Linked DNA regions of Daphnia pulex. The protein of the gene in region 3 purifies or fractionates together with the protein of the main gene of each other region. This does not show direct contact. Links are inferred from orthologs where the notes say so. Each region holds a gene or a part of one and is shown on either strand. Other genes may lie near its edges.

Region 1 (4,080 bases), on a different chromosome or scaffold from region 3:
GATCGGAAAAAGACGGAGCGGAAGAATCCTCGTTCGACGGCGGAAGCGTTTATGATGACGGAATCCTCCTGGTTGTATCCGGTGTAGCTGAGAATGGCAACAATCGAATTGATGCCGGCGGGCAACTCTCTGAAGCGCAGGTACTCCATGGAGCGTGTCGTGACCAAAGGTTTCTGAGGGTACTGCAGGACGTGGGCCAGAGTGTCCATCCGGACGTGGAAGTTAGTAATGTACACTCCCATGGCTTGTTTACCCATGGCGCTTTGGTAAGTGTTACGAGGCGACTGGTTGTGATCGGGAAACGGAATAATCGAGGCGCAAACTCCCAAAATCATGGCCGGATGAATCTCGCAATGCGTGTACGTCGTACAGTAGGCGTCTTTACCCTGGATAAACAAAGCAAAACATTCAACGGCTGGATGGGGTGGGGTAGGGAAAGAAAAAATCAATGCAGAAAATTTACCTGGCGCAAGTCCTCGGGCGACATGGCAATCATGGCCGTCTCCTCCTCCAAAGTGTCAATGTACTCGACTACACCAGTGGCCACCAGTTCCTGCCAGCTGAAATTGATGTACTCGCGCTGTTTGAGCATGTCAACGTGGCGCTTCTTCAGCAACAATTTGCAGTTCTCGACGATCAACAATGGACGACAAATACGGCCGGCGTCCGTGTAAATTCGAATTTCACGGTCCTGGATGTCGCGCACCATCGATACTTCAGACACGATAATGTCCATCTGACGACGCAGTTTGCGCAGGGTGGCCATCAACTGCTCCGGGTCGCGATGGATACCCACCCAGCAACCGTTGACGAAAATCTTGGTGGCATCCGCAATGGCAGACGGAGCGATTTCTTCCAAGTTCTCCATGGACCACTCTTCCAAAAACTCGAGGATGGGCGACGGTTGGGAACCGACTGAAATGTAGGCCATCAAAGCCAAATTCTTGACGAGACCGACAGCAGCTCCTTCGGGCGTTTCGGCTGGACAAACCATTCCCCACAGCGTGTTGCTAAAATAGTTTTAAAAAATGTTATGTAATAAACAAAAGCCGATGAAAATAATTTGAAATCAATGACTTACTGGAGCTGACGAGGTTTGGCCAGTTTACCGTCACGACCAATGGGCGAATTGAGGCGACGCAAATGTGACAAGGTCGAAGCGAAAGTCAATCGGTTCAACACCTGAGAGACACCAGCGCGGGCCTGATGGGCTTTTTTCTGGTCTCCCCAATTTCCTGTGGCCAACGAGTAACGGAGTCCGTCGGTGATGATGCGGGTCTTAATGGCCAGTTCCAAATTGAAATCTTTTCCTCGATCGATGAATTTCTGTGCGTACATTCGGACTTCTTTCATGAGAGTTTTGAAAAGGGCTCGGAAGAGGAAAGCCATCAACGGTCCGGCGAGATCCAGACGTTTGTTGCCGTAGTGATCACGATCGTCCAGCTCACGGCGTCCCAAGGCAGCCAGCAGCAAGCGATGGACCATGTAGCCGAGGAAATAGGCTTTCTTCGTCTCGCAAAAGTCGGACACACCAACGTGAGGCAACATTTCCTTTTGGAGAATCTCACGGGCGTACTTGATACGCTTCTCTTTGGTGACACCAGGCCTGGCACCGCGAGCACCGATGAAATTCAAGGCAACATTCTGCTCCTGGATGACGAAGGCTTCGTCCAGCGAAGGTTTCACCATTTCCATCATTTCGGGGTCTTCAAAGTCGTAGATGATGTGCTCGAGAATATCTCGATCGGCCACGAAACCTAAGGCTCGGAACACAATCATAATGGGAATTTCTTGCTTAATGTAGGGCAGAATGGCAATGATACGCTGGCCGATGGCGGATTTCTTGATGCCCTGACCACCACGTGCCAACATGTTGACGTACAAGGTGGAGGTTGGACGTGACGAGTGTTCCAAGCAGGAACGAATTTCTGTCTTGTAAGCGAATTTGCCGTCCTTCATGCTGAAGACATACACTGTATTTGTGGCCATCTTCTCTTGAGCAATCAATACTTTTTCTGAGCCGTTGATGATAAAATATCCACCAGGATCGAGAGGGCATTCATTCAATTCACACAAATCACGATCATTCATTCCATTCAGCAGGCAATAAGTGGATCTCAACATGATAGGAATTTTGCCAATGAATGTTTTCTGATGCTGTGTCTCGACCTGCTCTTCCCCTTCTTTGTGCACAGTTTTCGTGATATCAACATACAACGGGGCAGAGTAGGTGAGATTTCTTAGTCTTGCTTCATTAGGCATCATGGCTGTCGGAGCACCATCTTTCTCCCAATGTGTAGGTTTCGAGAGGTAAATCTGCTCAAATTTTAGGACATATCTCGGAGGGTTTTCTACTTCCCCCGAAGAATGCTGGGCTTCTGCCTGAAGGTCAATGGCAGGTGAATCTTCAACAATTCTTTGTACAGACATCTGAATAAATTCATCAAACGAATCAAGCTGTTGTCGCACAAGACCTTTTTCATCGAAATATGCGTTGATGACAATCCAACAGGCTTCTTGCCAAAGCTCTGAAGAGATTTCCTCGCCATCTTCATCCTCGATCGGATCTTAAGTAAAAGACACGTTAGAATGAGAAAAAAATGTATGAATATCATCATATTTTGATGTTACCTTCGTCTTGATCGTACATTGTGTTATTATACGAATCGACAAATTAATTATGAATTAGAAAACGACTGCAATGTAAAGATTCGTTGGCCTTTGCAGCCGGCAGTCGACTTTCGTTCACTGTTGTCGCACTTGTCGGAAAAACTCAATTTCGACATCTGCCGGCCAAATCGAAAATGAGACGCAAGGTGGCGTTGCCGGATATATTTTAATTTCGCCGGTTTATTTAAAAGTCGGTAAAAAAATATTTTCTTTAAAACACGAAACAACTCGTATTGTGTGAGTAAATAAGAAGTGTATTCAAAATTAATTTTAACTGAATAATATAGATTACATTGAAAGACAATCCATGTGATCAATGTAAGAACAATTCTTTAAATTACTTTTTAAAATAAAAGAATAACAACGTTGTGCTAGAGAAAAGCATTTTACATCAATTGATTACTTGCCAAGAACGAAATATCTGAATTTCTGCAACGAGGGATATTGCTGGAAGTCCTCAACGCTCTCGTAGCTGTCGAAATTATCTTGATCACAGCGCAATTCGCAAAGGTCTTCGCTGGCGAATAGATTTTCAGATCCTCCACAGCCAGTGTAGAAAATCTTTTCACAATCCCTGGTAGCAGAGTCGTAGTACCACTTGATGGAAAATTGATTGCAACGCACTTTGGGGTTGAGTGGTGGCAAGAGACAAACCGGATCCAATGGTCGTTGAGCAAATACCGGTACTGGGACCGCCAATTCTATTCAAATATATTCATAAATCGTAAAAGAGCATTGCTTGAAAAAGCCCATGTTACATAAAACTAAAATTTTAGATTTAAAAAATCACTTACGAGGAGCAGCAGAGGAGAAAGCGACGAGGCAGAGCATAACGACGAACGTAGCCGACATTTTCCGGTTGAAGTTTATGGAGTTGAATGGAGCAAATGGGAAAAACCTTCTTCTGCTTTCGACTGAAGAAGGAAGGAGTCGACCGGCTGGTACTTATAGTCCCGCTAGAGATAATTACAGCCCTGCAATCGGGCATTATAGCTGGAAAAAACATGAATTTGACCTTTCGCGATGTAACCAAAATAAAAATAACCGCTTAATCATTCACCCCTAAAGGAAGAGAAAAGAGAAAAGCGCGCATCGCAAAAGAATTAAACACACACATATCGATAACCGGTTTGTACAGTTCATCATCTTGATCATTGTCTTCCTTTGAAAAATATATGCACGACATGATTGCACAATTATTTATTTAGCTCCGGGCTCTTTATATCAGAATTTCAAATGTACTTACTTAAACATAAGCTCGGAATTATAGAGAGAATTCGAATTGGCTTCGAATTTTATGTTTTCCGTTTTATTTGTATAATTTATATTGATTTGATTCATTTATTGAATTAAATTAAATTTTAATTGTAAACCAACTTGATTATATTAAAACTGAAAAAATGTATTCTA
Region 2 (3,129 bases), on a different chromosome or scaffold from region 3:
AAATGTGCGGCCAATTCCCCTTTTTCCACATTTCAAGGTGCTACGTTTGCGGTTTGTATGAACTGGAACTCCGACCAATGGTCTTCTGTTGTAAAACGGAAACAGAAAACAGTCGCCAAACGAAGACAATGGCAATTTAGTGTGCGGCTAAAATCAACAAATGAACCGTAATAACAGCTGGTGCAGACATCCGCAAAGACAAGCTGGCCCATCAGGACATTGTGTGGATATGTTCTTGTCAACTAAAACAAGTTTCTCAAAACGAAAAAAAAAATTGCCATTCATACCGTCCGGCTCGTTTCGTTCTCATGATCATCGAATCGTGAAACAGGCAATAACACGATCACCACGTCCGCTCATCTTTCCACAACATCTGCAAAATTCCTTGCGGATGATTAAACACTCTCAGGAAAAAATTTTCATATACTAATAAAATACCTAGTAAACTTATCCCCAATTGAATTCATGCAAATAATCATTTTTTTCTTTCTTTTTATCAGACCGTGTTTCACCTAAATGTATTATTCCATGAATATATAATATATATACACACTGGGAGTGTGCTGGCAATTTACCTTGGTGCGCAAAAAGAGGGGGACAGATTTTCTTATTTAAAACAAAAAGAGTTTTTTTTTCTTCATTCAATTCTAATTCTTTGTGTATCACAAGTTGGAAACAACATGGACTCGTGGGGTTTTCACTTTTTCAGAAGACGTTCCATATCTTTATTTTGACGCTGGATTCTCCAGTCAGCCTTGTCGGCACCAGTCTGCAACCGATCGATCAACGTGTTCTGATCTTCCAGTTCAGTCGACAATCCCTGGGCGAGACCTTTCAGACGGGACAGGGACAAACTCATGTCACCCAGATCTTGCTCTAGCTGCTCGTCGACATTGGAAAGAGGTTTGTGACTAAAATCATTTTCAAGTCCTTTAATCCTCAATGCTGGGTGCTGTTGCTGTGATGGTGAGTCTCGGTCAATCGGTGATGATGTTTGCTCAAGTACCTTGGAAAGATTGCTACTACTACTACTGGAACTAGGCTTTAACAAAGACCCTTCAGAAGAGTTTTTGAGTGGCTCTGAAGGCTTAGAAAAGTAGTTCTTCATACTGCTAAACACACTCTAAAAATCAATGAAATCTGTGTTAAGGAAAAAACAACCAACCAATGCTATAAAATATAGATAGACTACCTTGATATTCTGTATGTGTCTCTCTGAAGTCCTCAATGAATTATTCATTTCATCCAGTCGGCTCCCAGTTCTCTCTAACTGTTCCCTCTGCCTTACCAAGTCCTGGTTGGGTATTTTCAAGGGGAAAATGAATCAAGTTTTAAGTGGTTTTCTAATGTAAGCTTATGTGCAAACCTCAGCGGTGGAGATTCCAATCTGCTCAGTCTCATACAACATTCCTTTAGCTCGCCCTGAAGCCTGCAAAGTACGTTCTTCTATTTTCTGTTTCTCCATAAGAAGTTGTCGTCTACGTTCATCGGCGCTCTGATTTTCTCCTCCGTCCAGAGGTTGGAAACTGTTATTTCCGCCCGACAAACTATTGGCTAATTTTCCTCCAAAGTTATTGAACCTATTGGGTGCCCTTTGTAGAAATTCTTCGTCGTCCACGTCGTCTTCATCGTCAAAAAATGGATTTGAACCTTTAGACTTGACGTAACGCCCACTGGATCCAGCCATAGTTTTTTCGACACTAATACACTTTTCCTTGTATGTATTATTTGTTGCTCACTCACTTTCGCATGCCCTCCGAAGCTGTCAAGGCCTTTAAAGAGACTGCCGAGAGTCGTAACCAAGGTTTGATGTCTTCCCTCTAGCGACGACAAAAGTAATGATTTAATAAAATTGTAAGTAACATAAATCAAATCAATTAAAACATATTATTATTTTTAAGTTCATTTAAAAATTTCAAAAAATAATTCTCTATTATTATTCATTCATATGAATCAGTAATATTTAATAAAATTAGCTAATTTAAGGAATGTTGCGAGGCTTCACCAGGCTGAGGGAACAGCCCACCTCTTTCTCGTCATAGCAGCCCTTCTTACTTACTTCACTTGTTTTCCCGTGATCAAAATATCTACGTGTGAAGTCACGCAACTGTCCTTAGAACGTGTCAGTATCATGAGTGCCTTATTTCCTGATAAAATAATTGCGAAATATTTGAAATAATCAATGGCCACTCGTCACGAGCCATTATCACTTCAAGTGATAACATCTCCGTTCCTTCGCAACGTCGAAACAGCCCATGATGGCAGTGCAACAACTGTGGAAAGACGTACATTTCGAAAAAGTCTTGAAAGACTTGAACGAATCAATATGATTGATTTAGAACCCTTTAGTTCTGAATCAGTCTACCGTCAGCCTTCATGTGAACAGGGTCCTAGTGGAGATAGGAAGCTAGCAAAACGACAAAACAGGCTCAGCAGAGAGATCCTTGGAGTTGATGATGCAGTGTTATCAGCTCCTGACATTGCCCAGTTCCAATCTCAGGAAAGACAGCTTCTTACAAAGAACCAATCAATGAATGGTTCCCTTAATCAAACCGATGTTGATGATGATGTCAGCAGTGTTATTTATGGTGGATCAATAGCATCAACAGTCCCCGACAGATATGGTTTCTTTGGAGGATCTCAGTTCAGTCATGACACTGAAATGTAAGTTTTATTTGTTTCCCTTGAATCCCCTATTAGTTTAACACTATTGTATTTGCTTATTTTGAATTCAATTTAGAAACCCAGCAATGATTGCCATTTTTCGCAAAAGAGAGCTGAAGTGGTTAAACATGTTAGATGATTGGGAAAAGTATATGACATACAAATACAAAAAGGTTTGGCAATATCTTTTATTTTTCTTGTCTTTCATGTTTCTATTAACACCCAATTATTTGTAATCAACAGGTAAGAGACAGGTGTAGGAAAGGAATACCCAGTTCTATCCGTCCCAGAGCGTGGCAATATTTGTGCGGCGGTGGTGTTCTAATGGAAAAGAATAAAGGCGTGTTCGACGATCTACTCGCTCAGCCCGGAGATCCCAAATGGCTGGATGACATCCGAAAAGATTTACATCGACAATTCCCCATGCACGAGATGTTTGCCGATTCCAATGGACCTGGGTAATTA
Region 3 (3,191 bases):
TAATGTCTACAAATCTAATTGGGTTATCTTTTTTCAGCTCAACACATTGCAACAACTACAGCATATTGCCAGTTATAGCTTCATTCAAAGTGCCATAAATTCGGGGCGAGTACACCTTCACGCGTATGTATCATGTATCAAACGTTTACTCGTAAGTGTTTAATGTTGAAATTTATGATACTAGGTTATGGTTCGACATCTATACCGGAGACATCTACGTCTTTAGCCGCAAGCAAAAACGGTTTGTGGAGATAAGCGAAGAGACATCCGATTATTTGCTCGATGAAATACGCGAATACTTTGTGTGACCTTAACCGACGTGCCTCGGGTTATTATGCTGAAGAATATATGGAAATCTAGGTATTTTTATAGAGATGACGCACATCTCCTGAATTTATATGGGGAGTTCGATTCTAAAGCTATTTTGTAAATAGTGAGAAGTTAACTATAAAATAAATTGTTGCATAACTTTATAATGGAAAAGAATTTGAACAATTCGAAAAAGGAATTGCACAAATATTTATCTATTTTACGAACCTTTGAATGAGGAAGGTTTTCAAAAAGAAATGCGAAAGTAGAATAGTATACAGGATGGTTACCAACAATATTAAGCAATCGCGCAGGATACAGAGTGTAAATTGTTAGCTCACGTGTTTACTGAGAATCGGAAGATGAACTGCTACTCGAGTCCGTAGACATAACGTCGACATCTTCATTCTCTTTCTTGGGATTTTTGTGATCCATTCCACCACTCACACCCAAGTGTGAAACTGACAAACAGGGCATTTGCAGGTCATTTTGAGATAACCAACTATAAGTGCCTGCTTGAGAATTCGGAACTGAAGACCCCTGCTGCAAAGAATGATTAGGACGATGCAAAAGTTCTGGAAAACTCATGTGTCCATTGACATTCATTTCACCAAGACGGCCCAAAAATCCTAGCCGCATTTCAATATCTGAAAACCACCACAAAACAACATGAAACTACTGGACAGCAATTTAAAAAAAAATTTCTACCCGTGGGATATGGTCTGCGTAAATCTCCTTGCTGCCAATTCAAAGGAGCACAAACAGCGTTGGAAGCCGATATTCTGTGAGCAAATTTTATCAACTCTTCGGAATTTACAGGTCTGTTATTCGCCCGTGTGATTGATTGCAACTTTTGCTTAGCTTGAAAGATTGCAGTAGCCTGAAAAAGAGTAAGTTTATGAAATACTAAAACCAACAAAATAATTAAAAATAGCTTACTAATAGCTGCTCTGCCTCCTTAAGCTGCTTTTGAAGATTTCGAATCTCAACATCATGCCTTTCAACTTCTGTCTCTAAGGCAACTACTTTTTGTTGTAATACACCTTGTTCTTCAGCCAACTTAATAAAAGAAAGAATTAGCATTGAAAAAAATTATGAAAAACAAATAATTTTACCTTAAGTGTTGCCTTAAGATCAGTGTCTTTTTGAAGAACCAATTCAACAAGTTGAGAGTGTTCAGTACTCATAGGTTTCTGCTGCTTCTGGGCTATTAAGTTGTCCAAAAGTTCCCTAATAAATTAAAAAGATTAAGTTTAGTACAGTGACAATTATATTTTGGAAGATTAAAATTCAATAATCAAATTCAAAACAGTGTATGATACAAACGAGTGTGACAAAGTGTTCTGAATTTCAGGTAAACAATGGTATGATTACCTAATAAGATAAATAAATATATCATGCTAATGAACAATAGATAGATCTGAGGCTTTAACTTTCATTAAAAAAATTTTGAAGGAAGAACAATTGCACTACGTGATCAAAATAGTCGACGAACAAAGGCAGCCAAATCAAGAAAAACTTACTTTGCGATGATTTCGATATCGTCGATGCAAGTAAGCAATACTTCTCTGGTACTTTTTTGAGAAGTCATGTCTAGTTATTTTTATTCCTTTTTATAGAAATAGTTATAAAAACAGGTAAGTGAAACTTTCCAATCAAAATTAGTTTTTCTTGAATGCGGCTCGGCTACGGCTGCAACAACAACTAGAGAAGTGAGGTTGCCATATCTAGATTTAACCTGACCACGTATTTTTTTAAATTTCCTTATCCTTTATTTATGGATTCATTCGGAGTCGAATCACCGCTCTACAACGTGATTTCGTTAAAAGAAACTAAAAAATATAATAGTAATGAGATATGTTTGAAGTGTATAATAATGCAACACTGGCGACGATTTATGAATCGAATTTCGTAAACATAAACAGACAGCAGGAATCCGCTGTTCCGCTCTTGATCGTCTGACCCGCCCAAAGTTTTCCGAGCAATTTCTCAAAAACAAACTCCGGAAAGAGTGAAAAGACATTCATTTGTTTGCTTGGGTGAGTATATAGTCCAGCAATTCGACTTTAGAATCTCCAGTTATGAGGACTTTAAAACACATTTTGTGTTACAGATTCTTGGTTCAGTTCCTGTCTACAAGAATGTCGAATGACAAGTCTGTCAAAGTTAAGGTTGGAGAAGAAGAACGAGTATCGCAAAGTTTATGCGGTTGTTCGGTCGGAAAATTTTGGAAATGGAAGTACAGTGTCCATAAACAATGAGCAGAAAAAACAACTAGGTATAGAAGGAGACTATCATGCCGGGCATATCATTGCCAAAATGCTTGGAGGATCGGGATCGGACGTAAATAATCTCGTCCCCATGCACAAAAATTTCAACAACAGTGCCTACAAATCTTTCGAATTTGAAGTCCGCAAGATGATTGAGGATTCTGAAAAATTTTACCCCGGAAAACAAGTAGAAGCTCGTATCACTGTTTCCTTATTTTACAATCAAGGTTCCAATAAACCATATCGAATCAAGTATGATGTTGCCATGTACGCTAACGGCGTAGAAAAGCCGAGTTACGTTGGAGATTTCAAACTGAATGAAAATGGACGACACTAATTTAAATCGAGGAAATTTTTGCTTTGACGCTTTTTGCAGAGCTATAACTCTGGCTTTTTGTAACCAATAAACATTTTTCAATGTTGAATGCGTAATCAGGCGCCGCGCAATGTATTTTTTTTACAAGAAAGCAGATTTTAGTACGTACAAGAGTGCTTTTACAGCCATCTGGCAACCGTTTTCGTTACTAACCTACCTAGTGTCTTCTGCAGTGGTTGATTTGTTGACGTTTATTGCTCGAAAATTCTCCAACCCACTAACATTTACTCGTTTAG

Evidence for each region. The genes of interacting proteins can lie anywhere in the genome.
Region 1: the proteins of mediator of RNA polymerase II transcription subunit 4-like (region 3) and DNA-directed RNA polymerase II subunit RPB2 purify together in Homo sapiens (affinity purification with mass spectrometry; 3 studies listed by BioGRID and IntAct, with this or other methods). This does not show direct contact. The link is inferred for Daphnia pulex from reciprocal best matches to the Homo sapiens genes MED4 and POLR2B.
Region 2: the proteins of mediator of RNA polymerase II transcription subunit 4-like (region 3) and synaptosomal-associated protein 29-like purify together in Homo sapiens (affinity purification with mass spectrometry; 3 studies listed by BioGRID and IntAct, with this or other methods). This does not show direct contact. The link is inferred for Daphnia pulex from reciprocal best matches to the Homo sapiens genes MED4 and SNAP29.

The regions. Positions count from the first base shown.
Region 1 is NC_060022.1:1,081,131-1,085,210, reverse strand, and holds the start of DNA-directed RNA polymerase II subunit RPB2, read right to left. Parts: upstream 2,802-4,080; 5' UTR 2,651-2,801; coding exon 2,632-2,650; intron 2,568-2,631; coding exon 1,082-2,567; intron 1,011-1,081; coding exon 464-1,010; intron 387-463; coding exon 1-386. Other genes in the region: kunitz-type protease inhibitor 1-like, read right to left, coding at 3,070-3,371, 3,465-3,522. UniProt on the Homo sapiens protein: Catalytic core component of RNA polymerase II (Pol II), a DNA-dependent RNA polymerase which synthesizes mRNA precursors and many functional non-coding RNAs using the four ribonucleoside triphosphates as substrates.
Region 2 is NC_060025.1:1,294,144-1,297,272, reverse strand, and holds synaptosomal-associated protein 29-like, read right to left. Parts: upstream 1,807-3,129; 5' UTR 1,688-1,806; coding exon 1,367-1,687; exon of another isoform or gene 1,295-1,366; coding exon 1,193-1,294; exon of another isoform or gene 1,124-1,192; coding exon 698-1,123; 3' UTR 502-697; downstream 1-501. Other genes in the region: TBC1 domain family member 10A-like, read left to right, coding at 2,183-2,664, 2,741-2,837, 2,908-3,122. UniProt on the Homo sapiens protein: SNAREs, soluble N-ethylmaleimide-sensitive factor-attachment protein receptors, are essential proteins for fusion of cellular membranes.
Region 3 is NC_060026.1:12,376,682-12,379,872, forward strand, and holds mediator of RNA polymerase II transcription subunit 4-like, read right to left. Parts: upstream 2,025-3,191; 5' UTR 1,901-2,024; coding exon 1,833-1,900; intron 1,540-1,832; coding exon 1,425-1,539; intron 1,369-1,424; coding exon 1,249-1,368; intron 1,190-1,248; coding exon 1,018-1,189; intron 957-1,017; coding exon 655-956; 3' UTR 509-654; downstream 1-508. Other genes in the region: beta carbonic anhydrase 1-like, read left to right, coding at 38-123, 185-308. UniProt on the Homo sapiens protein: Component of the Mediator complex, a coactivator involved in the regulated transcription of nearly all RNA polymerase II-dependent genes.